Linked DNA regions of Arabidopsis thaliana. The protein of the gene in region 4 interacts with the protein of the main gene of each other region in a pairwise test. Each region holds a gene or a part of one and is shown on either strand. Other genes may lie near its edges. The genes, in order: AT4G30660, AT1G64150, COR413-PM1 and AT5G03345.

What was found.
Region 1: the proteins of AT5G03345 (region 4) and AT4G30660 interact in a protein complementation assay, tested with the Arabidopsis thaliana proteins (one large-scale study listed by BioGRID).
Region 2: the proteins of AT5G03345 (region 4) and AT1G64150 interact in a protein complementation assay, tested with the Arabidopsis thaliana proteins (one large-scale study listed by BioGRID).
Region 3: the proteins of AT5G03345 (region 4) and COR413-PM1 interact in a protein complementation assay, tested with the Arabidopsis thaliana proteins (one large-scale study listed by BioGRID).

What each region holds. Positions count from the first base shown.
Region 1 is NC_003075.7:14,951,620-14,958,460, forward strand, and holds AT4G30660 (Low temperature and salt responsive protein family), read left to right. Parts: upstream 1-3,759; 5' UTR 3,760-3,850; coding exon 3,851-3,940; exon of another isoform or gene 3,941-4,190; coding exon 4,191-4,325; 3' UTR 4,326-4,381; exon of another isoform or gene 4,382-4,541; 3' UTR 4,542-4,552; downstream 4,553-6,841. Other genes in the region: AT4G30630 (uncharacterized protein), read left to right, coding at 1-256, 346-540; AT4G30640 (RNI-like superfamily protein), read left to right, coding at 1,051-1,415, 1,523-2,063; AT4G30650 (Low temperature and salt responsive protein family), read left to right, coding at 2,784-2,873, 2,948-3,079; AT4G30662 (uncharacterized protein), read right to left, coding at 4,564-4,911; AT4G30670 (Putative membrane lipoprotein), read right to left, coding at 5,978-6,286.
Region 2 is NC_003070.9:23,806,028-23,815,666, reverse strand, and holds AT1G64150 (Uncharacterized protein family (UPF0016)), read left to right. Parts: upstream 1-2,941; 5' UTR 2,942-3,087; coding exon 3,088-3,257; intron 3,258-3,354; coding exon 3,355-3,439; intron 3,440-3,675; coding exon 3,676-3,903; intron 3,904-4,000; coding exon 4,001-4,054; intron 4,055-4,147; coding exon 4,148-4,209; intron 4,210-4,321; coding exon 4,322-4,390; intron 4,391-4,468; coding exon 4,469-4,520; intron 4,521-4,903; coding exon 4,904-4,975; intron 4,976-5,062; coding exon 5,063-5,192; intron 5,193-5,281; coding exon 5,282-5,352; intron 5,353-5,541; coding exon 5,542-5,589; intron 5,590-6,548; coding exon 6,549-6,620; 3' UTR 6,621-6,832; downstream 6,833-9,639. Other genes in the region: CHX16 (cation/H+ exchanger 16), read left to right, coding at 1-428; DIR5 (Disease resistance-responsive (dirigent-like protein) family protein), read right to left, coding at 1,056-1,604. UniProt on the Arabidopsis thaliana protein: Mn(2+)/H(+) exchanger, which transport Mn(2+)from the chloroplast stroma into the acidic thylakoid lumen. Might be a chloroplast-localized Ca(2+)/H(+) antiporter. Regulates Ca(2+), Mn(2+) and pH homeostasis. Required for chloroplast development.
Region 3 is NC_003071.7:6,945,690-6,952,965, forward strand, and holds COR413-PM1 (cold regulated 413 plasma membrane 1), read left to right. Parts: upstream 1-4,161; 5' UTR 4,162-4,473; coding exon 4,474-4,643; intron 4,644-4,728; coding exon 4,729-4,836; intron 4,837-4,919; coding exon 4,920-4,990; intron 4,991-5,078; coding exon 5,079-5,323; 3' UTR 5,324-5,336; coding exon of another isoform or gene 5,337-5,371; 3' UTR 5,372-5,503; downstream 5,504-7,276. Other genes in the region: AT2G15960 (stress-induced protein), read left to right, coding at 1,664-1,897; AT2G15980 (Tetratricopeptide repeat (TPR)-like superfamily protein), read right to left, coding at 5,660-7,156.
Region 4 is NC_003076.8:811,023-818,436, reverse strand, and holds AT5G03345 (membrane magnesium transporter-like protein), read right to left. Parts: upstream 4,353-7,414; 5' UTR 4,242-4,352; coding exon 4,165-4,241; intron 4,068-4,164; coding exon of another isoform or gene 4,064-4,067; coding exon 4,015-4,063; intron 3,914-4,014; coding exon 3,722-3,913; 3' UTR 3,130-3,721; intron 3,047-3,129; coding exon of another isoform or gene 2,959-3,046; 3' UTR 2,818-2,958; downstream 1-2,817. Other genes in the region: AT5G03355 (cysteine/histidine-rich C1 domain protein), read right to left, coding at 1-483; AT5G03350 (Legume lectin family protein), read left to right, coding at 1,809-2,633; AtCDC48C (ATPase, AAA-type, CDC48 protein), read left to right, coding at 5,304-5,332, 5,479-5,641, 5,901-6,129, 6,229-7,414. UniProt on the Arabidopsis thaliana protein: Mediates Mg(2+) transport.

The DNA.
Region 1 (6,841 bases), on a different chromosome or scaffold from region 4:
ACCAAGTGGCGAAAGAAAGAAGCAGTCTGGTGTGAGAGCATCTGTACCATGTTTTGATTTGAAACTGAAGAATACAATTTGCAATGAGAAGGAAGCATTGGCTAATAATGTTGCAAGTTGTGACTTGGATAAGAAGCGAAAAAGGAGCAGAGGAAGCGATGTTTTGACATTCCCCGTTTCACTTCCTGACCTTAACGGAGAGGGAAACACTTCTGGCACTGACAAAGTCCCTGGCTTTGACCTAAACCAGATCTCGGTAAAGCCAAACAACTTGTGTTATTTTAGTGTCTTCCTTTTGGTAGAGTCTATAGAACTTTATTAGTTTGATTTGTGTTTTGGTTGTAGAGAGAAGAAGAGGAGCCGGAAGTGAATGGTGAACATATGGTCGCGGAAGCAATGAAGAATGCAATGCTTGATAACAGGATCAGTGATCTACATGTTGAAAGAAAGTTACCCATTTGCGGAGATGTGGAGAAAGAGTTAAATAGAGCAGTGAAGAGGAAGGTTACATGGCAAGATCCAGTGGCTTTAAGTGTTTAGGGTGTTTAGTATGAAATAGGATTTGAGATAATGATTTGTCGTCCCAATATGCACATATGCTTATACAAGTATATAGATATAAGATTTGATTTGATGACTTAGAAAGTCATTACTTCCATATGTCCAACATAGGAAAACCTTTGAATAATAACTCTTGTCATAAGTGACTACATTATCCTTTTAATCCAATTTGGTAATTAGGGAATCTCATTTGTTGTTGGATGTTCTTACTCATTCTCTTAATCAAAGTCGAGGAGCAGAACCGTTTTGCTCCAACTTCAAACTGACAGAACATTAATATAAACTGGATATCAAAATTGGAAAGGTTACTAATGACCAATAAAAAAAAGCTCTGTTTTGTAATAGGTAAAGAGCATGCTTGATTATAGAAGCTGAAAAAGTCTCAGCATTTTTGTTTCCATTGACTACATTTATTCCATTGACGATAAAAAAAAGTCTCAACATTTCAAGTCTATTCGTACTCAAAACGACGAAGCGTTCTTCAATCCTATGGAAGTCAACGGCGGGGAAGGAAAGGTGGAGATGGGATCGGGACTCTACCCTGACTGGTCTGAGTTGACTCGAGAATGTCTTCTTGACATCTTCTCACGGCTAAGCCAGGAACAAAGATGGATTGGACCGATGCTGGTCAGCAAGAACTGGATGAACGCATGCTATGACCCGACACTAAACACCATCTTCGACCTCGAAACTCGGTTTCTGTCGTTCCCTGAGTCGATCAACTGGTGGACTCCCGAGTTTGAGGATAAAGTCGATTCATTTCTCCGATCTGTTGTTGATCGGAGTGAAGGAGGTCTCACAGAGATTCGGATCAGGCATTGTACAGAACGCTCTCTATCTTACGCCGCCGAGAGGTACGTATCACTTTTCGTGATAATTCTCAGTTTTAGCTTGAGTCCATAGAGGTTAATCGCAGAGTTTTGATAGAATGAATAAAATGTCATGTGGTTTCCATTTGCAGGTGCCCTAATCTAGAGGTACTTTGGATAAAGAACTGCCCAAATGTTACAGATGCGTCAATGGAGAAGATAGCTATGAACTGTCCAAATCTTAGAGAACTTGATATAAGCTACTCTTATGGCATAACTCACGAGTCTCTGATAACATTGGGGAGGAGTTGCCAAAATTTAAAGATTCTGAAACGGAATTTGTTGCCCCGGCTAGGTCCTAGCCTGCCAACAATCGTCGCGCCACTAGACTATCTGGCTACATTTCCTAGATATGGGAATATAGAGGCTAGAATAATTGGGAAATACATGACACAGCTCAAGCATTTGGAGATTCGATACTCCACATTGACTGCTAGAGGACTTGACTCGGTTTGTAAGGGATGTTCGAATCTAGAGTACATGGACTTACGCGGATGTATATCATTGACCAGAAGTGATATAAACACTAATACGTCGGGCTTGAAGAATTTGACGGAGATCATTAAGCCGGATTTCAATCCTCCGATTGCTGTTTTACGCGTTCCAAGACCTGGTAATCCAAGAGAGGAATGATGGTGTTTGGTTTTTGTTGGACGCACGTTTTGATCAACTTGTTGACCGGTTTTTATGCTCAGAGCTTCCTCTATGGCATTTTTTACTCTGTTCTTATCTATGTTTGAATTCCTAAAACAATGTGAAACCCTTTTTCTTTGTGAGTTTGTCTTGTCACTAAATTCCCAACTTTTGGTGTGTTCTATTAATATTCTTCATTGCTTTAGGTCTGAATCATAGTGTTAAGTGAAATAAACATTGAGGGAAATGGGTTAAGTAAATGTACTGAGATAGCTTGCCATCTAAGCAAGCAACAGAAAAATTGGGCTAATCAAAGTCCGGTCCCGGAAACAATAGAAGACAGGCCTTCTAGGCCAACTTAGTCACGTGATCCATTAACCGTACGATAAGGGGGCGAGTCAGAGTAATAATATCCCACAATGATCAGGTGTGTTGTGTTGCACCATACCTTGCGTGTTCTTGAGATGAAAATATCTAAAGAGTGGGGGCAAGGTAAGGTAATTTTACGAGATGTCGGCATGTAAGCTGAAGCCGTACGATTTATATACCAAACAAATAAACGGTGCAGATCTCGTAGTTGACTTGGTAGCGCCAAAAATAAAAAGCCGTGGATTGCTCTTTTAATTGGATCTCTGTGCTACCGACTACTTTCAGTGTTCTCTTCTTCTCCACTAATTCAGATCACATTCAAGAATCTTCTTCACTCACATCTCTGAAAAAATGGCGAGCAACATGGAAGTTTTCTGCGAGATCTTAATCGCGATCCTTCTTCCACCTCTTGGAGTTTGTCTCAAACGTGGCTGTTGCACTGTAAGTTATTGGAATTTTGGAATCATGAATCTTGAGATTTAGTTTAGAAAATCTGACTCTTAGTTTTTTTGCAGGTAGAGTTCTTGATTTGCTTGGTGCTGACAATCTTAGGATACATCCCAGGGATAATTTATGCACTATACGTGATCGTGTTTCAAAACCGTGAAGGCTCTACCGAACTTGGAGCTCCACTTAACTCAGCTTGATCTGTTTTGGTCCATTACACGGATCAATATGTTGTTGAAACTGTTTTACTTATCATGTACCAAATAATAAGTTGCTTTGCAATTTTTATGTATTGAAGATTTGAGAACATTGTCGCGTTATTGATACATTGCTTATCTTTTTGATGTATAACTTGTTGGCTTTTGCAAAGTCAGGCTACGGACCTTCCTAAGAGTTAATGTATCAAATTCTTTGCCAAGATTGTATTTACCGGAGTTTAAACTTCGCAAAATGCGGAAGCATTTTTGAGTTTGAAAGGATTTTGTATGATGCCAACATATATTATGGTATAGATTATGCTAAAAAAGATAGATTTCTGTTACTTTGGCAAATAATGACAATGATTGTGAGTTGAGGAATCAAAGTCTCAGTAATACGACACCGTTTGAGTCAAAACGTTTCTGTCCAATTCCAGTCTGGTCCCGGGATTAATAAAATAGACAGGCCTTCCCAGGCCCATTTAGTCACATGGATGAGTCAGAGACTAAAATATCTAAAAGTGATCTGATGTGATAAGGGTGCACCATATCGTTCGTTGTGATTCACGAGATGTAATCTAAAGCCGTACGATTTAAATATCAATAAATGAACGGTGCAGATCTCGCACATTGACTTTGTAGTGGAAACAAAATAAAACGTGGACTGATCTCTCTTCATTGGTACTCTCAACTCTGTGACAGCAAGTTTCAGTGTTTTGTCTTTTAAAAAAACTCTTAAAGCTTCTTCTTCTCTCATCTCATCTCTCTGAAAAAATGCCGAGCAACTGTGAGATTCTGTGCGAGATCATTATCGCGATCCTTCTTCCTCCTCTCGGAGTTTGCTTCAGGAAAGGATGCTGCACTGTAAGTTCTCTCTCTCTCTCTTTCGAATTCCTCAATTTTGAAGAATCCTGGAACTTCTTATAGAGACTGTAATTTTGGATTGATTATAATGTAATTTGGTATGAGTAATGAAGGGAGTGCTTAATCTATGATATGAATCGCAGAAATTCTCTGGATTGGATCAATTTATGTTTGATTCATTGATTCCTGAAAGCTTGGATAATCATTTGAAGAAAGTTGAATTTTTTTTATGTGTGGTTTGTTTTGGCAGGTGGAGTTTTTGATATGCCTGGTGTTGACGATCTTAGGCTATGTCCCGGGGATAATATATGCGATTTACGTGATTGTGTTTCAGCACCGTGAAGAGTACTTTGATGAATACAGACGCCCCATCTACTCTGCTTGATTTCTGTTTCTTTGGAACTGTGTTGCTTTGACTTGTACCAATAAAGTTGCTTTGCAGTTGTTTTCAGAGATTTGAAAACGTTTGTGTGTCATTTATATGCAATATTGAAAGTTTCTTCTGTTATCAGCTTATGAACCCTCCTGCTATGTGTGCTTATGCATCAGGTTGTTGACATAGTGTTTTCGCAAGGCACAAATTAAATTATTAAATTGAAAGGTTAAAAAAAAAAAGAGTTTAATTAGAAGGCGAAGAACATCAACAGAATTGAGCTCGCGACCGTGGAACCGTAGCGCAATGCCATCGAGAGACAAGGTCGACTAGTAGCGGATGATCCACCCGCACCATGACCACTACTGGGGACACGACGGTGGCTACGACCACCACCACGACTACCACCACCAACACCACCAAAACGAGCTTTCCTCATGAAAACTCGAAGAGAGTCATGATGATCCAACGGATTGGAGTCACCGTGTTGTGCAAGTCTTCGTTCACTCTCCTTATTTTCAGATGAAATTGGCAAAGGCTGAGAGAGTAACAATAGGAGTACAATCAATGAACAAGAAAATGCCAGTGAAGTCCTCATTTCTGTTTTATCAAATAATATGTGTGTATATACATGTATCTGATCGAAAAAAATCAGAAATATGTGTTAATTTTACAATGATGGGACGCATTATGTGTGCAAAAGAATTAGTATTTATAATATCGCTAGGCTTAGGTAACGAAACGACCATGGCTTAAACATGGGCTACTTCTTCTTTGAAATGATGTTTAATACTATTATTGTATTTAACTATTGGGATACTTATTACTTATTAGCAAAGAAACTTTCCTTTTGCCAGCAACAAAGAAAGTTTCCGAGAGGCAAAATCTAATTACGTAAGGGAGGATCATGATTAATTAAGCCTAATGGGTAACAGACCCAAATGTTATTATTTATCGTTTTCTTATGTGAAATGGAATTTAGTGAATTTCCAACGTAAGGCAAATAGTGGTCGAAGGGAAATGGTGCCTAGTAGTTAGTTCTAATTGTAACTGAATTTGATTGAATTCATGTAGTAGATGTTTTAAAGAGGTTGTTGTTAATGGTAAGAATAAACAAAGGAACAATGTTCACTATACCTGCATTCTCTCTCCACTCAGTCTTCAAAATAATTGATCGTGAGATTAAGAACACTATCACCGCCAAAAAAATCAAAGGGGTCACTTCTGAAATCTTATGGCTGCGATAAACTGGCCCGAGATTTTCCCACATAAGTTTGTTTTCTTGTTTTTTACTCTTTTTTTTTTTTGGCCAAGTACACAATTGTATAGGTTTAACCAAAGTGTAAGTTCTGATTATTCATATTAATGATATTTACAATTTAGCAAACAAACAAAAAAATTCCAAAAATAGTCGCATGTAGTTGTGTGTCAATGATAAATTGTCTTAGACAATCAGTTATTATTCATTAAACAAAACAACTGGAACCACAATATTAGACAAACCAGATCAGACAACTTTTCAAACATTGAAGACTTACAAACTCAATCTTTGCCGGAAAAGAAAACAAATCGTTAAACTCGATCGGAAATACAAACTCAAACAAACACGCAAATTCAAGCCATTTGACAAATAAAATAAAAAAGTCGCAACCTGTTATCTTGGATTAAAATGCGGCGAGCAATAAAACAAAGGAACTCACAACAGTAGATACATAGGTAAATGGGTTAGAGAGAAGGGTTCGAGTGGCTGCTGATTTGTCCTTCTTCTTCTTGCTCTTGCTTTTGCTTTTCCTCACGAAGACTCGAAGATGGTCGTGGTGATGACCGGATGACCCTTCCTTGTTCTCTTCATGTTCAACTAGTTCCCGACCCAAAGGAGTGATCGTATGGCGTCCGCATGAAATTATGAGGGATTGAGAAAGTAACAAGAGGGAGATGATCAAAAACCAACCAAGAAGAGAAGAAGTTCTCATCTTTTTCTTATTCTTTAAACAAAATTGAATAGAAAATATATTTATCTTGTGTTTTTTGAACTTATGAGTGTGTCTGTGTATTTATAGATTTGTGTGAAAGTAGTTGTACCATACTCTCTTCTTCGTGCACGCAACCAAACAGATGAGCTCTTCCTTAATTAACAACTAGGCAGTGATATAATCATCAAGACAGCTCATAACTGTTTTTTCTTTTGGAAAACTTCTTACTTACACAAGAGACATTTTGACACGATCCAGGATCATATGACTCTGTCAACGTATTAAAATCTCAAATTTTATATGATTGACTACGTATGAAAAATGGGAAATATCCTTAAATGTCATTTTTCAATGTATAAATTAGTGTGATATTTTTTAAATATCTATTTTGAAATGCTCATCTGTTCCCATTAAAGTAAACCACCAACATGATAAAATACAATAATAATAATAATGATTATTTGACAACTACTTGATTATTTAAATTAAACTTTTCATTCCAAGACTATCTATAAAGAGTACAATTCAACATATTCTTTTCTTTTTCCTCATCTT
Region 2 (9,639 bases), on a different chromosome or scaffold from region 4:
CTGAACATCCGGGCGTTAACTTGACCGTTGTGGTTATCTCTGGTCCGGAGAGCGCAAGGTTTGATAGGCTTGAAGCGCAAGAAACATCACTATGTTCCTTAGACGAGCAATTCCTTGCAGCAATCAAGAAAAGGGCCAATGCAGCTAGATTTGAAGAGAGGACGGTGAATTCAACGGAGGAAGTGGTTGAGATTATCCGCCAATTTTACGAGTGCGATATTTTATTGGTGGGAAAATCTTCCAAAGGACCTATGGTTTCAAGATTACCGGTTATGAAGATAGAGTGTCCAGAACTGGGACCGGTCGGAAACTTGATCGTGTCAAATGAGATTTCTACTTCAGTGTCTGTTTTGGTGGTTCAACAATACACCGGGAAAGGTCCTTCTGTGGTGGGTTCCGTCTCTGTCCCGGTGGTGGAGACGCCATGAAAATCTGGAAACAGAGGATTGTGTTTTCTTTACCTTGAAGCACAAACCATGATGGATAACACGAAACACTCTTATGTATCAACATGCATGAATCAAACGACTCCCCTTTTTATGAATTTGTAAGATAAAACATATTTATGAATTTGAGTCACTGATTATATCATATCCTTAAAACATATGATTTGATGGATAGATTATTCAAGTTGTTAAGAGTTCAAAATTTTGACCAAAGATATTTATATTTTGGTAAGTCGATCCTTTTTTCAAAGGAATACTTCATATAGTAATTTTAGATACTACAATTATATTGACTAGTGGTGTTGTAGAAATATTTTTTCCTACTCAATTTACTATCATCCCATGCATGTGTCCATTATAAAGCTAGATTGAAATTTCAGTAGTAATCAAAATCTGATATTGTATAACACTGTGTTTGGTTTGTCAAACAACACATGACATAACAAATCATATACTACATAATTATCAAACCACATATCGAACAGAAAACATAAAATTCCAATATAAGATTGTTACACACCTTTTAAACTTATTAAATTATCAAAAAGTTTCAAAGGACTCAGCCTCTTTCTCTTTCTCTCTGTCTCTGGAACCATTTAATGGTCTCTTTTAGTAACATTCATAGAGTTTGATATCCATCTTGACCCTAAAATACTTAGCACCTTCAAAGGTATCGGTCTCAAACGTAACAATCCCTCGAGACATGAAAAAATCACCTGTCCCTCCGACAACAGACAAATCTCTACTCTGCACCATCATGAGATCTGCTCCCATTATGTTCAACGTCCCTTTGTGTTGAGTCGAGTTGAACACAAGTGTGTACGCGAACCATGCATTGTAGTCATTCTTCATGTCGTAGAAATAGAACCCTTGAGCTCTTGCCACAGGTTCGGACTGAAAGTTTTTGTCTATGGTCATAGGATCGTCGAAGATAACGAGTTTCCCGAATTTGAAATTCCCGAGGCCCGGTGGGTTGGTAACTGCTGCAGAAGTCGCGTTTTGCACGTCGTCGACACCGAACATTATGTCGTGGTAGTAGAGGACAAAGTTTTTGCACGGTTTTGGTTGCGATTTGGATGGTTTTCTAGCTGATATGACGGTTTTTGTTAGAACAAGGAAAACGAATAAGAAGAGAAACGATTTCATTTGGCCTACCATATTGAAAATATGTGTGTTTTAAATGAAAATGTGAGAGTGGATAATGAGAGAGTGAGATTGACAAAGAAGGAGTGATGGGTTTATATACAACTTGGGTTACTAGTCCGTGTTAATATTAAGTATAAACAAAGTGGACTAGCTCACTTCTTCTCTCTTGTTTCTTGTTTATATATTTATTTATATTAGGTTGGTGATAAGTTTTGTTGATGTGTATAAAGTGAGATCATTTACCATGAATATCTGAAAGTTTTCCATGTAGGCGGCTCAATCACCTTTCAAAACTTTCCACAAAATGTTATAGTAGTGGAGAAATCGTTAAAAATAACACGAATGAAGTACTAAAACAAATTAGTATATATAATACATATTTGATTTAAGACTACATAAGCTTAAAGCTTGTACATACCTTAAGCTGGAGTTGCACGAATTCATCAATAATATCTAAAACAGCACAAATTCAAAAGCAGAAGAGATATTAAATCGGTTAAATATGCAATTCATGGCTTTAAATCATATATATTGAATCAATGAATAATCTACTTGTTCGTCTAAATTTAGGACATTAATAATATATATATGTATAGTCTTTCAGAACTACTAATATATGTAATTTGGCCTTTTAATGATGGGTTGGTGGAGCACTAATAATAAAAACTAAAGAGCATGAGGAGTTTTTCCAATAACTTATAATTTTACATGAATTTATGTCAAACTGCCACTGACCATTAGCATGATGCTAAAAAGTATCGTTATAGATTTTATTTTATTTTATTATATATAAATCATATCATTTTTTTCTATAACTAAAAGTAGAGTCATCTATTTTATTGGTAAAAGTCACGTTGAAAATTTTAATTTTAGTTTGTTAAGTACCCTATGGCTAATATAATTTGCATACCAAACATGTTTTTTTCTTAATGATAATCTAGTCCATTTGTAAAAGTAACCGTTTTATCATCAATTTTTTTTTAATTAAGCTAAGCTTTCGCCGACTTAATAGAACATTGGCATTCGGCAGCCAATAAAGCAAATCAAGTTGCAGAATTTCAAATGTGACATAACTATTCACATTTTAAAAAATAATATCGTGAAACAAAAGAAAAGCAGAACAATAGTAAACAAAAAGACAAATTGTTGAATGTTGACAAACTGTGAAGATGATAACAAACGAAGGAAAAGAAAAATACTAAAATAGTTTGTCCTAAAAAGCCTTATCTGCGAAGGCATTTTAACGAAAACGGGCCTATTGTTGGCCCAATATGATATATAGGCTCGAAACTCGTCACGTGTATTCAACAGTTGCTTGAGTTTTTCCCACACGTGCGCTGTTACTACGTGGACGCGCGCGAATAACTCTAGTTTTGTGGATTTTTTTCACTATCTTCTCAGAACAACACAGAGCCAAAGGTTTTTTGCTCGCAGTAAAGAAGAATCACACTGTGAAGAAGAAGAAGAAGCGAAATACAAAATCCTCAGGAAAGAAATGCTAAGTTTGAATCTCTCGGAGTCGCTTCGCATTCCATTCCAGAACCCTAGGCCTCCCAAATCCGATTTTTCTTCTACTTCTTCTTCTCCTTCCTCATCGTCGAGGAGATGCGTCTCCGCTTATCCAATTCCGATCGGGTTTTCGGTTCGTAATCAATACTTTTCTAGGTAAATTTGATAATTGATTGTTCATCGGCTTTTGAATTTGCTATGCGAATGGAATGTAGCCATGTAGGAGTTTACGTCTTTTCACAATTCTGTGCAGATGTTTGACTCAATTGCGTCGAAATGAATCTCAGCAGCTAGGTTTTCGATGCTTCCAACGAAACGATGCGGCTTGTTACCTCGAGGTGATTCTGATTTTTGTTACCTTCCACCAATCTTCTTTTGGTAGATTTTTGAATTTTTTTAGATGAGATTCTGTTAAGGCCTAGAGGAGATTTCTGAATTGCTTGTTCTGTGTGGATTTACCTAAAATGGTAATGTAGGTTTATTATAATGATGATTGATTTTAAGGTTGAACAATAGTGGAGAGAATGTGTTTAAATGCATAAGCTGAATAAGTTGTTGTGTTTGCTTTGTTCAGAAAGCTGAGTCTGAAGAGCATGATAGAAATCTTGATGTTCTGGTTGAGTCATCGATAGCTCACTCAAGAAGAGAGATTCAGAGAGTTCTTATGTTCTTGGCGGTATCAGGTTCGGTTGCATTACTAGGCACTGATCCAGCTTTTGCAGCTTCGTCAATTCCCAATGTGACACAGTCACTTGTCACTTCTTTTGGAGACCTTGGAGATATTAGCTCAGGTTTTGCTTCGGTTAGAGAATCTTCCTTTTGCACAGAACCGGGAACTATCTCTTCTTCAATTCCAGTACTCTTAAATTTTATTTTTTGCTCTGTCTATGTCTGTGTAGGCTTTCTTGCTTATCTTTTTCTCTGAACTTGGAGACAAGACTTTCTTCATTGCGGTATGATCTTGAGATGTTAATCTACGCTTTAGAAACTCTCTTTGTCATCAATGATTCTGTTGATTGTGATAAGTTTTCATGTTTGTTGGTTAGGCCCTTTTAGCAGCAAGGAACTCTGCTGCTACCGTATTCGTGGGGACTTTTGGCGCTCTAGGGTATGCTTTCTTTCTCAAACAGAGGCGTTATTATGGTCCGTGAATCTTGTCTGAAACCAAATGTTACTTTGAAATCTGTAGAGCAACGTTATAAAACTTGGTAATTTTGCAGGATAATGACGATAATATCTGTAGTGCTTGGACGCACTTTCCACTATGTCGATGAAGTTCTTCCATTCAGGTTTGAGTATTCTGGCAAAAATTATTAAGCAGGTTTAAGTTCCATGATGATGCTGAACGTCAATGCTTGAGAACACAGGTTTGGTGGAACCGATTTGCCTATAGATGATATTGCAGCAGTTTGTCTTCTGGTAAATCTCTTTATTCACCTTTCTTAGCAGAGTCGTACTAACCACGGGTGCTTGGTTTGGACCTTTCTTATGTCTAGCAAGTATATCTTCCTAAGTATATGATGTCTACCAAGTGAAACCAAATGTAGCTGTAACCCTTTTGTTATGAGTTTTGTTTTGGTTTTGGTTCAGTTTTCGATTCGAAGGGTCTTAAAATTGTCATGAAGTTTATAAGTTTCAGGCTCTATTGGGTTTGGATTTTTATGTAGAAAAAGTTACTGGTCTAACAATGAAGATGTTGATTGGTTTTCAAGCCTGGTTTATGGTTCATTTTGGGTTGGATCATATTGTACAGAGCATAGTCTTAACCATGAAACAGTATTAACCACTTTTGTTACATTTAGGTGTACTTCGGTGTTTCAACGTTATTAGATGCTGTTTCAGACGAGGGTAAAGCTGACGAAGAACAGAAAGAAGTAAAACCTCTTTAGCCTTTCGTTCACTCTTTGTATATTTCCATGCAACCTTCAAGAAGTCAATATTTATTTACTTATTATCTACAGGCAGAACTAGCGGTTTCAGAGCTTTCAGGTAATGGAGCCGGGATAGTAGCAGCCGCGAACACCATCATCAGCACTTTCGCATTGGTTTTTGTTGCGGAATGGGGTGACAAATCCTTCTTCTCAACAATTGGTGAGACTCAAAAAGTTCAAATTTCATGATAAATCAAAACCTCAGGTCCAAAACTCCAAAAGTGTATATAATCTTCTAATTCTTTGAAGCTCTTGCGGCTGCATCATCACCATTGGGTGTCATCGCTGGAGCGTTGGCGGGTCACGGTGCTGCGACTCTTGTGAGTTCTTTATCTTTTGATTGAAACTTCTATGTGAACACTTTAAAGATCCTAGCTATTTGGGCTAGTCAAAAGTATCTTTAAGTACTATTAAGACTTAAAACCCCATCAAAGAAAAGATTTTTTCAATTCTCCTGAAACTTGGAAGACACAAGAACTCTAACTTGCAGCTTGGTTTGTTAATCGCAGCTTGCAGTATTGGGCGGTTCTTTGCTAGGAAATTTCTTATCAGAGAAGGTAACTAATTCCGTTCTTTATCTATCTCTATATACATACACATAGACAGTATATACATGTTTATACTTTATATAGATCAAATCAATTTTAGAAAATCATTATTTCACAAAAGCACTTGAAGAATACTCCTTTTTCATTTATAGTGTCAGGTTTAGATTTTTGTTACATGTCTTAACCTGCATCCTGACCAAGTAAAAGGTTAAGAAGAATAAAACTTTAATGGTTGCATTAAAAAAGTAGAAAACAATTAATGAAATATGAAACAAATCCATGTCCTTAGATTATCATGAAAATTTAGGGTGAATATACTAAATGCCAGCATATCCTAGGATATATTCAGCTTTTATTACACAAAAACGAGATACTAATGGCAAATTACTAGCTTTAATCATGGTTTTAAAAGTTCCAAACCACCTTTTTGAGTTTTGTTTTAGTTAGTCAAAGGATATAATTTTTAATCTCGTATTGTGTTCTGAGATTTAACATGATAGAAAGAAAAGTGAGAGATTAAGGTTTTTATTCTTTGGGCAAGTGGCAAAAACAAGCTTCTATGTTCATTGATCTCAAGTCTTCCACATCACTTGGTATCTATTCCTCCCCAAAAAAGAGTCAAAATAACATCTTTTATTGTTTTTATTCTTTCCTATGTCCGATCCAATCTGTCAACAACGCGTTATTATTCCCAAACTAATGAAACTAGCCGCGGAAATAAAAATTAAATCACAAGTATATACTATAATTTTCTTTAGGTTTTAAGGTTCATGATTTATGTTTTATGGTTTAAGGCTTAGATTTTAGCTTTTATGACTTGATAGTAGGCTTACAATTTAATTTATAAAGATTTAAGACCATTTTTTTTATTGTTTTGATCTAAAGTTTAGACTATTTAAAAAACAATTTTGGGAGAGAGAGTGTGTTCTAAAGACGGAAATGTTTACATGTCGTTTGGTTCGAAACAGGCAATTGCTTATGTCGGAGGAGTTCTGTTTCTCGTGTTTGCTGCTGTGACGGTGGCTGAGATCGTTACGTAAGTACCGAAAAATATATTTTTTCTATACCTTCTTGTACAAACATATTCAAGTTTAATTTTATTTTTGTAAAATATTAGTATATTGTTTATTTTCAACTGTTTTTCTGCAAATTATAATGTGGATTTTACAGTTCTCATACGTTAACGTTTACTACCACATTTGGTTTTTAGTGGTTAGAATTTACTTAGATGTCAAGATAGGTAATATGTTATGTTTTGAAAGATGCGTCCAAACATAACACGTGTTCGGGACTGGAAAGAATATAAAGACTAAAAAGAGGTTGAACATGGTAGAGCATATTCTTTTCTATATTCTTCATGTACAAATGTGTATTTAAATACTATAATCGTGCATGTGAATTAAAATTATATGAAAAAGTTATAAATTTATGAGTTCCACTCACAAAGGCCAAAGGAGTTGTTACACCGACATGAGAAATAGGAAGATAATACCATCTCCTTTCTTTTATAGTAAGGTGTAAATTGTTTTGGTATTTTTTTTTTAAATGGTTTTAGTTTCAATATTAAGCAAGGGCCAAGGTGATTTTTCTTTTTTAAAAAGGATTACAGAAGTAAAGCTATATATTGTGCAAAATAAGCATGCACTGATGCACCTACATAAATAGTAGTTTGGATATATTGTAAAAATAACTTTAAAAATCATTGGTTTTGAAAAGGCATATTTCAAAGTTTCTGAAGACACAAATTTTTTAAAATTAATTGACCGAAATATCTTGCTTAATAATACCTTTTCTACACAATGACTACACCTATATAATATTGGAGCATTTTTTTGTTCTTGATAAATAATAGTATATCACAGTGACATAAACTTCAGCAGTTATCTTCAAAAATATTAATTTGTTCTACAATATACACCTTTAACTCAATATTTAGTGATTTGATTTTAAAGTTGGGGGAAATTTCACCTGCATGTTGAATTACGCAAAGCGATTATTTACCTGACATATAAATGGTATTTAACGTACTTTTACGAAATTGAATACTACTAGTAGTTTTGAAGTAAATAGAAATCTAAAAAAGGAATTAGAGAATCTAAATAATACAATTGACCTAGAAAAAGTAAAAACAAAATCTAACGAAATTGCTGCATTTGCAAACGTGAACCACTCTTTTATCGTACGTGGACCCTTTTTAGGTTTCCTACTAAGGACAGCGATAGCCAAAAAAAAACCAAGAAACGACGTCGGTTTATATATTTTTGAAAAATTAAAAACAAAAATCGCAAAAAATTACGCTGTCGTAGATTTGTAGAAGACCTTCCCGAGGGGAATCGTGCGGGACCCATAAAAGACGCATGTGGGGACCACAGTCATAATCACAAAACCAAATTGAACGGTGACGAGCCGCTGCTGCTTCAGCCGCCACGCACCAAATTACCCCTTCGTTTTTTCTTTGCTGCTGATGCTTCCAACCGCCACAAACAATCTTGGCTTCGTTTAAACCATACGTATCCTAATTAAACTCTTAATATTAATATCATTATCTGTACTCAAATCTGCATAACAGAGTACAATGTTATTGATAAAAAAATACCATTAATCAAACTTAATATAAATTTATGGTAGGATAAATTTGATTATCAGGAAGTGGAGGACATATCATGTTTGGCAGTCAAATACTTCATTTTATTTTTGATTAAATTTAGCTGGTGCGTAAAAATGAATTTATGTGTTCTCTGTTTAATGAATTGATTAATGTGTTTGTAGCTTATACTTATGATCAATAGTCAGTCAATACAAAAACATAAAAAAAATATTAAAAGGGTATAAGTGGCACGTGCAAAAGATTCTGATGGCACGTGTGGCAAACCAGTCGTCTTACCCTTGGTTTTTTTATCCTCCTCACCTCTCCTTTCAGATTCGATATCATTTCCACTCCCTTCAAAAAAAAAAGCCTCTCTCTCTCCTCTCCTATTTATACCTCTCTCGATCTCTCTCGCCGGCGCTGCAAATCCCTAGGTTTTTCAATCACACCCAAAACATTTGTAGAGCCCCAAGTACTCAATTTCGCTTATTGATAGAGAGAGAGAGAGATTGAGAATCGCGATTTGATTTTATCAATCGATGCCGTGAAAATCTCGTAATCAGATTCAAAATTGAGGTAAATTCATTCTTCGTTTTTGTTTTTCTTCAGTTGAATTTGCATGTTTGTTTTTGATGAGAAATTCAGAGAAATTTGACTTCTTTTTAATTCGAGACAAAAAAAATATGTCTCTGAGATCGATGTCTGGGAAATTGAATAATTCTGTTATTCTCGTTGCTTTCTTTCCTTGTTCTGTTTCATTTATTTCTGAAATTTTGTGTCGGTTTAATCTAGAAAGACTCAAGTTTTTGATTTGAAGTACTCTGGTTTGGTCTCTTTTGTTTTGATTTCTCTCTCTTTTATTCTAAGCTTCTCATGGAATCATATCGATGAAGCTAGTGAATAATCCATCATTTGTGGTGTATCTCTTTGACAAAAAATTCTTCATTTCTCAATCTGTTTTTTTAGATCTCTTGTTTTGTTTCATGTTGTGGTTGACTAACGAATAAAAAGGTTGTGCTTTTTAATCTTGGTTTATGGTGTTTGTCCTAAACTATGTGTGTTCTGGAGATGTTAAGTGTTCTGTAGATTTGAGGTGTTAAATGATCTGTGTTCTGTAGATTTGGTAACCCAATTGAATTTTTCACTGCTCTATTGCGGTTTACTGCCACTCACTTGTTTATTATCTGTTATATGAAGCAGGATGGTTAGCTGCTACCGTAATCCTTGCGTGAAGATTGAGAAGAACTAATTTTGGTTTGTGAGCAACTTTCGAATCAGCTCTGTTAGATTTGATTTGAACTTTTATTTGAAGATGGATCGGTGTGACACCTCAGGATTTGTAAGCGGCGGTGGAGATGCTTATAAGGTCTTCTAACTCTTATTAGAGCTGTGGCTTTATTCTCTTAACCCGGAAGTTGTTGTTGTCCTCTTGGCTTCGCGTCTTTGCTTTTGGTGTTCTTGACGAAAGTTTT
Region 3 (7,276 bases), on a different chromosome or scaffold from region 4:
TGTATAACCTATAGTAAACACCCCATAGCTTTTCGGGGAGTCTTGGATAGAGTTAAAATCATCTATACCATTTCTCCTAAGCTTTTTGATGCAGTGGCGCAACATTAAACCCCAATCTCATTTTCTTCAGTCTGCAGTTTGGTTTATAAATAAACTATCTATCACTTGATTAATAAATTAATCAAAGATTTTTGTTGATAATTTGGGTTTAACTGGATAAAAGGGTTAAACCACCAGACTCTGTCAACAGTAGGGAATAAATATCATCTTTATCTTTTATGTTTTCATAATAAGTATGAGCAGCCTCAATACTCATATTACATTTTCAATTTTCAACAAAATTGTTAATAGGAGAAGACTAAGTATAATACTATTCAACAACTGTTCAATAAAACAAAAACTAGGAAACAAATGGATTCAACAAGTAAAGGATGATAAGAGTTGAAAACTCATATATATCTAACTATCTCTTTATTATTAAAAGGGAAGTACAAATTGAAATTTTGTCTAATTTGGCCTTAATTTAGATTTCAATTTTGGATTTTGTTCTTTGCTATTTAAAATCATTAAGGATAATTTGGTCTTAACAATCTCCTAAACTTTACATGATCCGATTCAATCTAAACCGTTCAATAAAATTAATTTCCTTCAATCTAAAATGTTCAACAAAAATAAGGAATCTATGTCGTTTTTGAAATCAAAGTATGATCACATTCCATCCCTGAAAATACTATATTCAATCACGAAATCAATAATCAATAATATTCAAATTATATATTACGATTCTTCACTAATCACTAGAAATTTATATTTATAAATTTAAGATATTAAATTTATTCAAATATTTAGTATAAGAACCAAATAAACCGATTGCCCGCGGTAAACTGCTGGTTAAAGTTATTATTATTTGAGAAGGACTTTGAATTTGATACATCTAACTATTGGCAAGTGGGGTTGGGAAAAAAAGAATAAGATAAGACAATAGGATTCGCTTGGGCCAGACCATATCCAAATGCAACGAATAAAGCAATATAGATATTAACGACACGTCACTACAAATATCACAAAGATATGAATTCGTCAAAAATAGGAAAAAGAAGATCCGACCTGCCGGAATCGAACCAGCGACCTAAAGATTATCTGTTTTAAACAACTACAGTCTTCCGCTCTACCAACTGAGCTAAGGTCGGATGATGATATGATTCAACACTAAATATATTTATACTATATCATAAAGTATTTGAAAACGTGGAATTTTTTATTTATTTGAACACGTGGAAAATTCAAGAAGGTGAAAGAGATATTTTTTGGTTTCAATGATTTGAAACTGTATGTGCATATGGAAAATTCAAGAAGGCCAAAGAGATATTTTTTGGATTTTGATGATTTTTCCAGCCATTAGAATTTAGAAACTATGTACATATATATATACCAAAAAGACAACTCTTCTATAGTTGGACCGTGGACGGTGCCAAAGTGTAAAACAGATTGTCCACTTTCGTGTCAATAACACAATTATTTGAAAACACCAATCAAACTTGTCATGGTTTTGCAAGTCCAAAAGACCAAAAGGCCCTATTCTTTGTCTACATAAAGCTCACATGCATCTCTCTCTCTCTCTCTCTCGTTCATAATGAGATATTAAGATCAACAAAAGGAAAGAATGGCAAAAGCTATGGAGCTTTGGGTGGGAGAGATGAAGAAGATGAGTGAGAAGATAAACACTAGAAATCCATTGATGCAAAGGAAGAATTCAACATCTGTTGTGTCCAAACAACAACAAGGATCAGAAGAAGAAAGAGGACTTATTAACCAAAAGATTAGAGAGAAAAATGAAGCTGTAACTATGTCTGAGCTCACTGTTTGTCTTCTCATGGACCGTTTTGTTCCTTGGTGATCTTTCCATACCCAACTACTTCTAGATCTCTTCTTTGGTGATGTGTATATATATATCTAGAAACTACATGTAGTATGTCTATATATCAGATTTTGTTTGTGCAGACCATGTTTTTAAGTTTCCTTGTAAACCTGTGAAAGTAATGTGTTTGAGAAACATATTTTTATTACTTTAATCAATAGTGTTCAATTATTATTAACCGGGATTTATATGAAGATGGAACTTTCTATTCACTCTGTAATTAGGAACATTCGCATCATTCAGTAAGAAATAAAACAAGAAATGATTATAATTTTTCTAATAACGTAGGAATTCTGAGGGAACCCAAAACTAAAATTTGATTGAAAGATTTTGAAGTGGCCAATCATGAATGAGATTGCTGGAAGATATCATCAATATTCAATACAGATAACGATTTTTTTTTTTTTTTATTGATACCAAATGAGCTTTCGGCTTTTGGCCCAGACGGAAACAACGGTTACAAAAGGTTTGGGCTTTGGGCTTTGGGCTTTTGATCCACATGACGATCATATAGTTCTTTCCTTCAACACAAAACACTTGAAGTGTATCTTATCAACTAAACTCTATTCCAGCAAAATTATTTCAAAATTAGATATATGGGAGAATTTTTACAGGCCATTCTAGATTTTCATTAACGCTGTGATTTATCCGTTAATAAGTACGATTAAGAGTAAAACGACGTCGTTTGCAATTGAAACAAAAATCCCCAATTCAGAAATAAGAAACCCTAGATCCTCAAATCTCTTCTTCTTTTCTTCTTCGAATTCACTCCTGTATTTTGAAATCAAAGTGAATTGCAAGGCACAAAGTTCATGCTTTAAAGCACTGCAAATGGCGAAGTCATGATTTATATGGCATTTTTCCTGTTTTTGTTTCAATTGCAAACGACGTCGTTTTGCTCTTAAACGGTCTCATTAACGGATAAATCACATCTTCTAATTGCTCTGTTTATTCAGTTGATGTTGTGACTAATTTGGCTCTGTCAACGAAAGTTAGTGATTTTATCTGAAGTCAACACGTAATTGATGATTTTAATCACAAAGTACAAAGTTTATGTTTAAAGCACCACAAATTGCGAAGTCGTGATTTAAATGACATTTTTCCCGTTCTGGTTAAACTAAGTTTCTATTATTTAATATGGATATTGTGGAGCGTAGTGTCAGCACTCAGCAGCTTATTTAACGTGATACTCTTTAACCGAGTAACAACTAGTGAGGTCATATTCAGGACCGATCCAACAATATTGAGGGTTTTACTCCAAGTAAAATTTTAGTTTTATTTTTAATTATCATAAACGACATAAATATAATATGGAAAGATCACAAATACTGATTAAAAACTAAAATCATCAAAACGAAAAAGAAAAAAGAAAAAATTGGGTTCAACTCTCATGAGTTATTAAACATTTTAGGTTTTAGGCTTAAATCTTTAAAAAAAATCAGAACTGAAAAACGAAAAATTCTAATTTTATTTTGGACTCTGATTCATAGCTTATGTCGCTTATGTAGTTATGCTAGGGATGAATCTGTATTTCGTTACCGTAATGAGAGTTCGATACTCTCTTACTTGTTACGATTCTGGAGCATGTTACATTTTTTTCTTTCCGTCAACAACAACTTTAATATGGTAAAACAAAATTTATTTTTATTTGGCTGGTCCTACTCAAGACAAATCTTCTGCCGACATCACATAATCATATTAAAAACCATAACTTCTGCCACTCTGTTTTTTTTTTTTTTTGTAACCATTAACTGATTGGATTTTGATCCATCTCATCTGATTTTTTAGCTCAACAATTTACTTGCACATTTTCTATTTGGTTTTATTTATACTTAGTTACATATATGATTATCGAACTAGTATCTCTTTATAATTAAGTATTTTTCTATTTTTTTTTAATTTAGATTTTTGTGAATTCATTTACAGTAGAAAACTGTAAAACCATATGGTCTAATTATAGAATGAAAACTTCAACGAATCCATACAACTTATTGGCTAAATATAATAAATCTGCTTGAAGCATATTGTTATTATTTAGTTGGATTTGACGATCTCTGACTTTAATGTATACCGACATACCCTATGATTTAGATGTTGATTTTTCCCATTCTTAATATATCCATGTTAAGAGATTCCACCATAACATATCTAATTATTTGCATTGTAATAAATATTATCATTAAAAAAAAATACAACTGGACAGCTGGCTCGTCCCATTGTTTCTTACGTCCACCAATTACATTTGTTAAAGCAAACTTATTAGAACGTTCATGTGTGAGAAGTTGGTGTCGACATGTGTCTAAGGTCTATGTCAGAAATCGGATTAGCTTATTAAGTAAACTATACTATATCATTGTTAATATAGATAAAATATCTAGTTCGTCCAAATTAAACTATTTTCATAACTGCCACGTGGCGTAAACGTATCCATCGAGTCACTTGTAATATCTTTATAACCAAAGTCTTCCAACACATTCATCACCATCTATCTACTCTTTACTCTCTTCTCTTCTCACATCAATTATTCATAGTTCTCTCTTCTCCGGCAAGAAAAGATGCCTATGAAGTCGTTGAGGAATGACCATGGAACCCTTAAGGCCATGATCGGATCCGATTTCAACGAGCTCACTATCGCTGCTAAGAACCTAGCTACACACGCCTTCACACTCACTGGTTTAGGCTTTGGTACCTCTGTCCTCGAATGGGTTGCTTCAATCGCCGCCATGTAACCATTCTCTCTGTTTCTATGTCTCTTTCCTCTATCCGTTTCTTGTGTTGATCTTGATGAGGTTTTGATGTAATAAATGCAGATACTTGTTGGTGTTGGATCGAACCAATTGGAAGACGAATATGCTCACATCACTTCTCATTCCTTACATCTTCTTCAGTCTTCCTTCCTTGATCTTTGGTATTTTCAGGTATAACACAACAAAAGCCAGAGACTTTTTCTTTACTTATCATTATGTTCCTAAACCCTAACTTGTGTCTGAAACTTTGACAGAGGAGAAATTGGTAAATGGATTGCTTTCGTAGCTGTTGTTGTACAACTCTTCTTTCCTAAACACGCCAGAGGTTTGTCTACTTTTTTTCATTCACTCTCCATTACAAGCAACAAGACTTTGATTCTGATTTGGCTTATCTCTGTTGTTTGTGTTATTAGAATACCTGGAATTACCGGTGGCTTTGGTTCTTCTCGCCGTGGTGGCACCAAATTTGATTGCTGGCACATTCAGAGACAGTTGGATTGGTTTAGCTATATGTTTAGGTATTGGATGTTACTTGCTTCAAGAACACATTAGAGCTTCAGGTGGATTCAGAAATGCATTTACTAAAGCCAATGGTATCTCCAACACCGTCGGGATCATCTGTCTCGTCGTCTTCCCCGTCTGGGCTCTTATCTTTTAAGTTAACTCTTCAGTTTCTTTTTCCATTTGTCTTTTTTTTTTCATGTAAGAGTGATTGCTTTGTACGATCTGTCTCTCCTCGTAACTCTATCAATGAATGTGATTTGAATAAGAATTGCTTCAGCAATAAGATATCATCATGAGGTGTTAGTGTGGAATAAATCTCCTCTTTCATCATTATAGCTTTAATGGGTAACGTTGTATCATCTTACAATGTGTACCACTTCTTACCGCTTTCTCGTACCACCACAAAACTTGTCCACATTGTGTCACCAATTGGTTTCTATGTGGTTTTGTCATCTTTGCTTCACCAGCTTACCAACGAAGCTCAACTTTTCTAGCTTTCTTCTTCTGCTCTTAGCTTGAGTGATTCAGCCATTTCTATGGCCAACAATGCTGATGTTTCCTCATCACCTACTATTCCATACCCGTCGATAAAAGCTCTATACGTCTCTTGACTCGGCTTAAATCCTTTCCCAACCATCTCAGCCTGAATGTTCAATGCTCTATCCATCTTCCCATCTTCACACAACCTCTTTACCAACAACTCATAACAATTCCGACTAGGATAAAACATTGCTTCTCTCACCGCATCCTTCACGATATCCGCAGCTTCAACAACTCTCTGTCCATCCCTATCATCACATAGCCCTTCAACTAACGCTTCAATTGTTAAACCATCTGCCTCAAAACCTTTCCTTTTCATCTCCCTATAAACAACCAAACCCGAATCAACATCCCCCGCTTTACAATACCCGTTAACAAGATGCTCATACGTCAAACAAGTACACTCAATCCCCTTCAACCCCATATCTCGAAAAAGCTCCTTCGCTTTCACAACTTCAAAGTTACTACAAAGCCCACCAATCATAGTGTTATAAGCCACAATATCATAAACCACTCCTCTCACCTTCATCTCTTCCCATACCTTCTCCGCTTCACTCATCAAACCTCGCGCACAATACGCCTCCATCAAAACATTATAGCTATAAACATTCGGAGAACATCCAACTTCCTCCTCCATTTCTCTCCATATCCTCTCCACCATCTCAGTCTCACCTTCTCTATAAAAACTCACCATCATCGAATTAAAAGTGGTCGCATTTGGCTTAATCTTACCTATCATCTTTTTAGCTTCATCAACACTAACATCATCTAAACCAAAAACTTCTCTATACATCTTATATCCATTAGAAGCACCTCTACGCCTAGAAACCTCTGTGATCAAAGCATTACAAGTACTAATCTGTGCATTGATTCCTCTAGACCTTAACTTTCTCATAACCATCACAGCTCCATCAATCTCTTTCGAATCAAGACAAGATTTTATCAACAAATCGAATACAAACGGAGCAGAGCCACATCGATTATAACTCTTAATCAACGAACGGAACACTTTCAAGACTCTGTCTTCGTCTTCGTCGGTGGCGGCGAGACGGAGAGCGAGACGTATGATTTCACTAGCGTGGCTTTTGAGACGAGATCGAGAGAGGATGTGGATGAGAGTTGAGCAGGAGTGTGTGTCGTGAGAGCAGAGAGAGTAACGGCGAGTGAAGAGGAAGAAACGGAGAGAGAGGTGAGGATTGTTGCGGAGGCAGAGAGTGATTTCGGAGAATTGAGAAGGTGTGAAGCCTGAAGGCTGGAGTGATCGGAGAGTGGACCAACGGGATTTGGAGCGGTGGTGTGTTAGGATTGAGACGGCGTCGGAAATTAGAGGATCTGATGGCGGAGACGGCGGAGAAGAGACGGTAGTGAGGAGAGAGATTGAGAGGATTGCATCGGGTTTGGGTTTCCGGGTCGGGTCGAGTATCCGTCTTAGTATTGAAGTTGACATTTTAAAAGTTTCTTTTACTTTCGAGTTGAACTCTCACAGTTTTATACTCTGGTTTGGAGAAAAACTGGGTAAAAAAATCTGACAAAACAGCCGATTCCTGCATAAACTTAGCTAACTATG
Region 4 (7,414 bases):
AAATTTTCCGTCGTGAAAGCTTACTTGTACTTGTGGGCATAAGGAAATAAGCTTCTCCCACTCTGGATCCTTAGATTTGACGAGGTAGTAAATTTGGTGGAGGAGTGATATGAGCTCCGGCTCCGGCTCGAGTTCCCTTATTTTAAAAAAGAGCAACTTGAGCTTCTGATCCGTAGCAGAATCTATAGAGTTGACGAGAGGGATGTTTTCAGATACTAATGATATGAACTTCCTTAGCGGCTTCGGCTGGGATTTCAAATCCATAGTGTTGAAGAGAGCTATGGTTTGAGTAGTGAGTGACATGAGTTTGGTCTCCGGTTTTGGTAGCGAGTCCAAATCCATAGAGCTGAGGAGATCGATTATGCGACTAGTGACTAATACGACATAACTCGTTGCTTCATCCGAAATCCAAAAGAGAGGATCGACGAAAGACACTAGTTGACTAATGCGTAATAAGAGCTCCGTCTGCTGCTCCGAATCCATAGCGTTCGCCGATAGAGAGTTTATCTGAGTAATTAAGCGAGAGATTTGAATGATTTTGGTATGTTTGCTGCTCTCTCTATATTGGTATATGTTTATCTAACCAAACAATGTATAATCATGTATACAGGCTATCCACTCTCCATCCCATATTACAGGCTGTTCGAATACAAATTCAACGGTCAACTTTTAGAGATTAAAAAAATAAAGTGTGACAAGACAATCTCAAGCTGTCCGTAGCTTGCGGATCGTGCCTAAGAGTTTTTCTTAGACTAATAATGAAGTTAATGAGGGTTACATTGGCGTTGGCCTATGCAACTTGCACCTTTTTCTATATTAAGTTGTGGGCCACAACGACTCATGGGCCATATTTAAAGCCTCAACTACACTGCTCAATCCGTTTTTGCTCCTTTTTGCAAAAGAACCCTCCATTTTCTATTTTTTATTGTAAGTTCACAATATTTATTTGTTGAGAAAATATGAACCTTTGATCTCTCTAAAAAATTTGAACTTTTTAACCAATTGTGCAAGTATTTTTGGGTTAAACTACAATATTACGATTACTATTTAAAAATCGTTCAAACGAAAAATCAGAGATCGATTTACTAAGAAATCAATGGTAAGATTGTTGAACATTTCATATGTGTGATAAACTGATGAGAATTTGGGATGCAAAGCAAATTACTTTTTCCTGAGTGAATTTTCTTTGAAAATATCTCTCGTAGAAAAATAAACAGCAATCGATCTTTGCATTGCATTGGTCCTTTTCTAGACCAATTACACCGAAGAAACACAAGGTTGTCTATGTTCCTCTTCAATACTCTCTAAGTAAATTTCTATACGACGTAGTGTTGTCTATGTGGTGGGTAAAGAATTAAAGAACCCACTAGATTTTCCTTATCCTTTTGACGTAGTGTTTTCTATTCATTCATCCACATAATGATACCGTATACTATGCTTTCACATCGCAAAAGACAAGTACAATCTAATATACGAGATATGCGTACACTGTACACATACTCTGCTGAATGAGTGTATTCACAACAGTGTCTTCACGCGTTTACTTGACAAAATGTCATGTGCTGATGTGACCATTCGATGATTTTGTTTTAATTTTTTTTTCTTTCCATTATTAACAATCACGTTTTTTATTGGTCGAGTTCAATTTATGGAAAGGATAAGGAAATCTTGTAGGTGATGCGTTTACTTGACATCATACAATATGACGTCATGTACATGGGCTTATGTTTTACTCTTTATAAATCACCACGTTAATAATTTCACTCTTTCAAACTCTCACTTGAGTAAACAGCAGTTACGAAAACGCAATGAAGATTCATAAACTCTGTTTTCTTGCTCTGCTCTTAGCTCACACCACTTCCGCCGTCAACCTCAACCTCAACCTCAAAACCTCAGAGTTGGTCTTCCTTGGAGACGCTGAGCTCGGTCCTGCTTCTGATGGCGTCAGCCGCTCCGGAGCTCTCTCCATGACACGAGACGAGAACCCATTCTCTCACGGCCAAAGTCTTTGGTCCACTCCAGTCCCTTTCAAGCCTTCTTCAAACTCTTCTTCTCCTTATCCATTTGAAACTTCTTTCACTTTCTCCATCTCTACTCGCATCAAACCCGCCCCTGGTCACGGCCTTGCTTTTGTTGTCGTCCCTTCCATTGAAAGTGACGGTCCTGGACCCGCTGGATACCTCGGGATATTCAACAAAACCAACAATGGCAACCCCAAAAACCACATCTTTGCTGTCGAATTCGACGTTTTTCAGGACAAAGGTTTTGGAGACATTAATGATAACCATGTCGGGATTAATATCAACTCTGTTACTTCCGTTGTTGCTGAGAAAGCTGGTTATTGGGTTCAGACAGGAATTGGGAAAATGAAACACTGGTCGTTTAAAGAGTTCAAGCTGAGTAATGGAGAGAGGTACAAGGCTTGGATTGAGTATAGAAACTCCAAGGTTACAGTTACTCTCGCGCCAGAAACCGTTAAGAAACCTAAGAAGCCTTTGATCGTTGCCCATTTAGATCTCTCTAAGGTTTTTCTTCAAAATATGTACCCCGGTTTTTCTGGTGCCATGGGCCGTGGCGTTGAACGTCATGACATTTGGAGTTGGACCTTCCAGAACAGTGCCAAGAGAATCTAAACCGGTTCTGTTCGGTTATGCTTTTTCTAATGTATCAGAAAGTTGTAACCGGAATGAATAAAATAGCAAATTTTGTTGTTTTAATTGTTTGTATTTGACTATTTACACAGTATCCTATCCTGCTAGGACCTGTGCACTTGTTGTTATGTTGATTCTTCATTCTAAAAGATTCTAAGTAGAGACCTGACACACAGAAACATCACAAGACTCGTTTCAAGAATCAAAAATTGATGCAAAGCAGAGTAGTTACTTAGAGTAGAATTTCAATGGAAACATCTCATAACATTACACAGATCAGTGTTTGACTAAGCAGTGTGATAAAAATTCAAAACTTCATGTCGATCTGCGGTGGGAACAGTCTGCCACGGTGATTGAATATCATGAAATCCGAATTATCTGGTAAAAACACCGCCCTGCAAATTTTTTGAAAGAAACCAGTTAACAGGAGATATTCACTTTATCTAGCAAAAGCCAAACTCAAAACCAATTCAAGAACCTAATGTACAAAAAGGTAGGGGAGAGGCTGCGACATAGAAGGAACCAAAGTGGGTCTAAAGAGCCAATGAAACAAATATAAACTGATTGAATTAGCCAGGAGCAGAACTGGTTAAAGCTCTTGAAACCCATAATCGTAACTGGACCAAATATAAACTAGAAAATGTCCCTTTGAATGTCCTGCATTTTAGAAAACCTTAGCTGCACAAAGTATTAAAGAAACATCAATGTTTGACCTAGAACATCTCTAGACGACAGTTTCTTATCAATAAACATGAGTCTTTGGTGGTCATTCAATCATCGGGAAATATAATAACTACCAAATTTCCATGTTTCAGATTGATAAACACTGATGCACAACAGAGAGTTAAAGAGACATCAAAACTAGACCCTCGAAACATCTCTAGAGCACAAGTTCTTTGAATCAATTGATTAACAACACATCCGTAAACCTTCTCAGTCAAAAGAAAACATATTCACTAGAAACACCCATGATTAAACTGAATAATTGAACCAAATCTAGCCAGAAGATGCTTCTATAAGACCCGTAGTAACTCTACACCAAGTTCAACAAAGTACGAACAGAGAAAAATTCAATAGTAAAAACACTCACTAGATAACATGAATTCAGATTGATTAACACTGATGCAAAACAGAGAGTTCGAGAGAAACATGATCACAAACCTGTTTTCATCAGAATCCGGATGGATCGAGAGAAATTTACCAGGGAAAGTCAAAGCAGCCCACATACACAGAGCTAGTCCAATGATCAACTCCAGAATAACCTTAAATAAATCCAATCATGATTCATATAAAAGCATAATCATTGCTGATATAATTCAAACACAATTGAGGAAAAGAGAAACCGTTATCATTATATACTCACATTAATCGGTGGTCGAGAAAACTCTTCCTCCATAATCTTCAACAATCCTCTATCTGAAATAAACAAGAGAAACCCAAATCAAGATCCTATCTCGAAAATTAAAGTAGATCTGACTCAATTGGAACTGGAATTGGATTGGGAAGAGTAGACATACATTGGATTGTTGAATAAGCGGCATGAGAAAGAATAAGAACGCCGAAAACTCCAACTAAGAACCCCAAATTCATCTTTAGAAGTTCTCTTTTTTAATTTTCTTCTTCTCTAAGTTGATTCCCGATCTGGATTTTCTCGTCGAGTATTCTCCGTCGAGAATCGAACTAGAATAGAAGACGATCAGTGGAGTTTAAAACGGCATGTAGTTATAATATCGCAAATCTCAAAGTGAAAACGGCGCAACGTCTAATATCGAAGAGACTAACAACGGCGCGTAGTTCTAGATTGATGATATCCTAGATTCCTATTAATCTTTTGTAACCCAAACTTTTTTTTAAGTAACTAATATTTTTAATTAGATGAAAGTTCAGTTAGTTTGATAACTTTTTTACAACAATAAGGGTTTATCTTTTGGGAAAATAATTATTTTTTCGTATAATAAATAATTATGAATATTTATTTAGAATTTCATATTGATGATATATTCATATGCAAACAAAAATTTCTGCAATTATTGAATTGAATCGTATGTTGATAACTTCGTATAAAAAAAACGGAAATCTATTTTAGAACAAAGAAATCAAATGGTAAGATATTAAATTTCTATTTATAAAAAAGTAAGAAAAACATGTAGCTTGCTTTGGTACCGCTACCTAAGAACCTTCTATTCCTTTCTTGTGTTTGCTAAAACCAGAAAGTAAAACTGTTATCCTCACCTCTCTTTTACTTTTATTTTCAACTTTCCCCCATAACGTTTTTAATAAACATTTACGTACCCTCGCCACACTATTAAAATAAGTTTAAAATTACATCAAATTTTTTAATTCTTCATATAGGTAGATTTTTGTTTTGATTCTCGATAAATCATATAATAATATAAATTAATTGATATGATGTTAAGGGAACATGGGTGTATTTATCACAACACCTAGTTTTTGGAACTTTTCAAGATAAACTTAAAAGTTAAGGGTCGCTTATTTTTCCAACAAGAAGGAAATCACAGAGCGTATAAAATCCCGAGTTCAGCTCCCTTGAGATCCCATTCATCATCATCATCATCATCACCAATCGATCTCTCTAGAAACAAATTTCCCAACTTCCTTCTTAGAGCTCTCTTGTCAGTTTAAGCTATCATTATGTCAAACGAACCGGAATCCTCCGACTCGTAAGTACTTAGATCTTTGATTTTTGTTTTCCGATCATAAAGTTTCGATTTTTTTACTTGGGTTTTTCGATATTGAGAATAGGGTTTTTTAGTTTGATCTCATCTGAAAGCTGATTTTGTTTGTCTTCCTGGGGTATTTGTTTCAGGAAAACTAAGAAGGATTTCAGTACTGCGATTCTAGAGAGGAAGAAGTCTCCAAACCGACTTGTTGTCGATGAAGCTATTAACGATGACAACTCTGTTGTCTCTCTCCATCCTACTACCATGGAAAAACTCCAGCTTTTCCGAGGCGATACAATTCTCATCAAGGTTAGGTTTTGTTCCTTATGTCACTATGTTAGGGTGTTTTGAGTTTAGACTTGGTTTGGATCGTCTGTGTCTTGACTGTATATCACGAGCATGTTGTAAACATATTCAGTTATGTTTTTTACTTTGTCTGATCTTGTAAACATATTCAGTTAGGGTACAACTTTTTTGTCTGAAGTTTTTTTTTTTGAGTTTAGAATTGGTTTGGATTGTTCTTTTTATCTCTGTGATTACTTACTTGATTGGGGTTTTGGATTTTCAGGGTAAGAAGAGGAAGGACACTGTATGCATTGCCCTCGCTGATGAAACATGTGAGGAACCCAAGATCAGAATGAATAAGGTTGTAAGGTCTAACTTGAGGGTTAGGCTGGGAGATGTTATTTCTGTTCACCAATGCCCAGATGTCAAGTATGGAAAGCGTGTTCACATCTTGCCTGTTGATGATACAGTTGAAGGCGTTACTGGAAACCTCTTTGATGCTTACCTGAAACGTAAGTTTGCTTTAATCTTTTGATTCTCTCTTTCATATCATAGTCTAGCTTGTCTTTTGGAGTTCGTGTTTTCTAAACTTATATTGTTTTTTTCACCAGCTTACTTTCTGGAGGCGTACCGTCCAGTGAGGAAGGGAGATCTTTTCCTAGTGAGAGGAGGAATGAGGAGTGTGGAGTTCAAAGTGATCGAGACTGATCCTGCTGAGTACTGTGTGGTGGCTCCAGATACAGAGATTTTCTGTGAGGGTGAACCAGTTAAGAGGGAGGACGAAGAAAGGCTTGATGAGGTTGGTTATGACGATGTTGGTGGTGTCAGGAAACAGATGGCTCAGATTAGGGAATTGGTTGAACTTCCCTTGAGGCATCCACAACTCTTTAAATCAATTGGTGTGAAGCCACCAAAGGGAATTCTGCTTTACGGACCTCCTGGATCCGGGAAGACTCTTATTGCTCGTGCTGTGGCTAATGAAACCGGAGCATTCTTCTTCTGTATCAATGGACCGGAAATCATGTCGAAACTAGCTGGTGAGAGTGAGAGCAACCTCAGGAAAGCATTTGAGGAGGCTGAGAAGAATGCCCCGTCTATCATATTCATTGATGAGATTGACTCTATTGCACCAAAAAGAGAGAAGACGAATGGTGAGGTTGAGAGGAGGATTGTCTCTCAGCTCCTTACGCTTATGGATGGACTAAAATCACGTGCCCATGTTATTGTTATGGGAGCAACAAATCGTCCCAACAGTATTGATCCGGCTTTGAGAAGGTTTGGAAGATTCGACAGGGAAATTGATATCGGTGTTCCTGATGAAATTGGACGTCTTGAAGTTCTTAGGATCCACACGAAGAACATGAAGCTAGCTGAAGATGTTGATCTAGAAAGAATCTCCAAGGACACGCATGGATATGTTGGAGCTGATCTTGCAGCTCTATGCACTGAAGCTGCCCTTCAATGTATCAGAGAGAAGATGGATGTGATTGACTTGGAAGATGACTCAATTGACGCCGAAATCCTCAATTCCATGGCTGTGTCTAATGAACACTTCCACACTGCTCTTGGAAACAGCAACCCATCCGCCCTTCGTGAAACTGTTGTGGAGGTTCCAAATGTCTCCTGGGAGGATATTGGAGGTCTCGAGAATGTTAAGAGAGAGCTTCAGGAGACTGTTCAATACCCTGTGGAGCATCCAGAGAAATTCGAGAAGTTTGGTATGTCTCCATCAAAGGGAGTTCTTTTCTACGGTCCTCCTGGATGTGGTAAAACCCTGTTAGCCAAAGCTATAGCAAA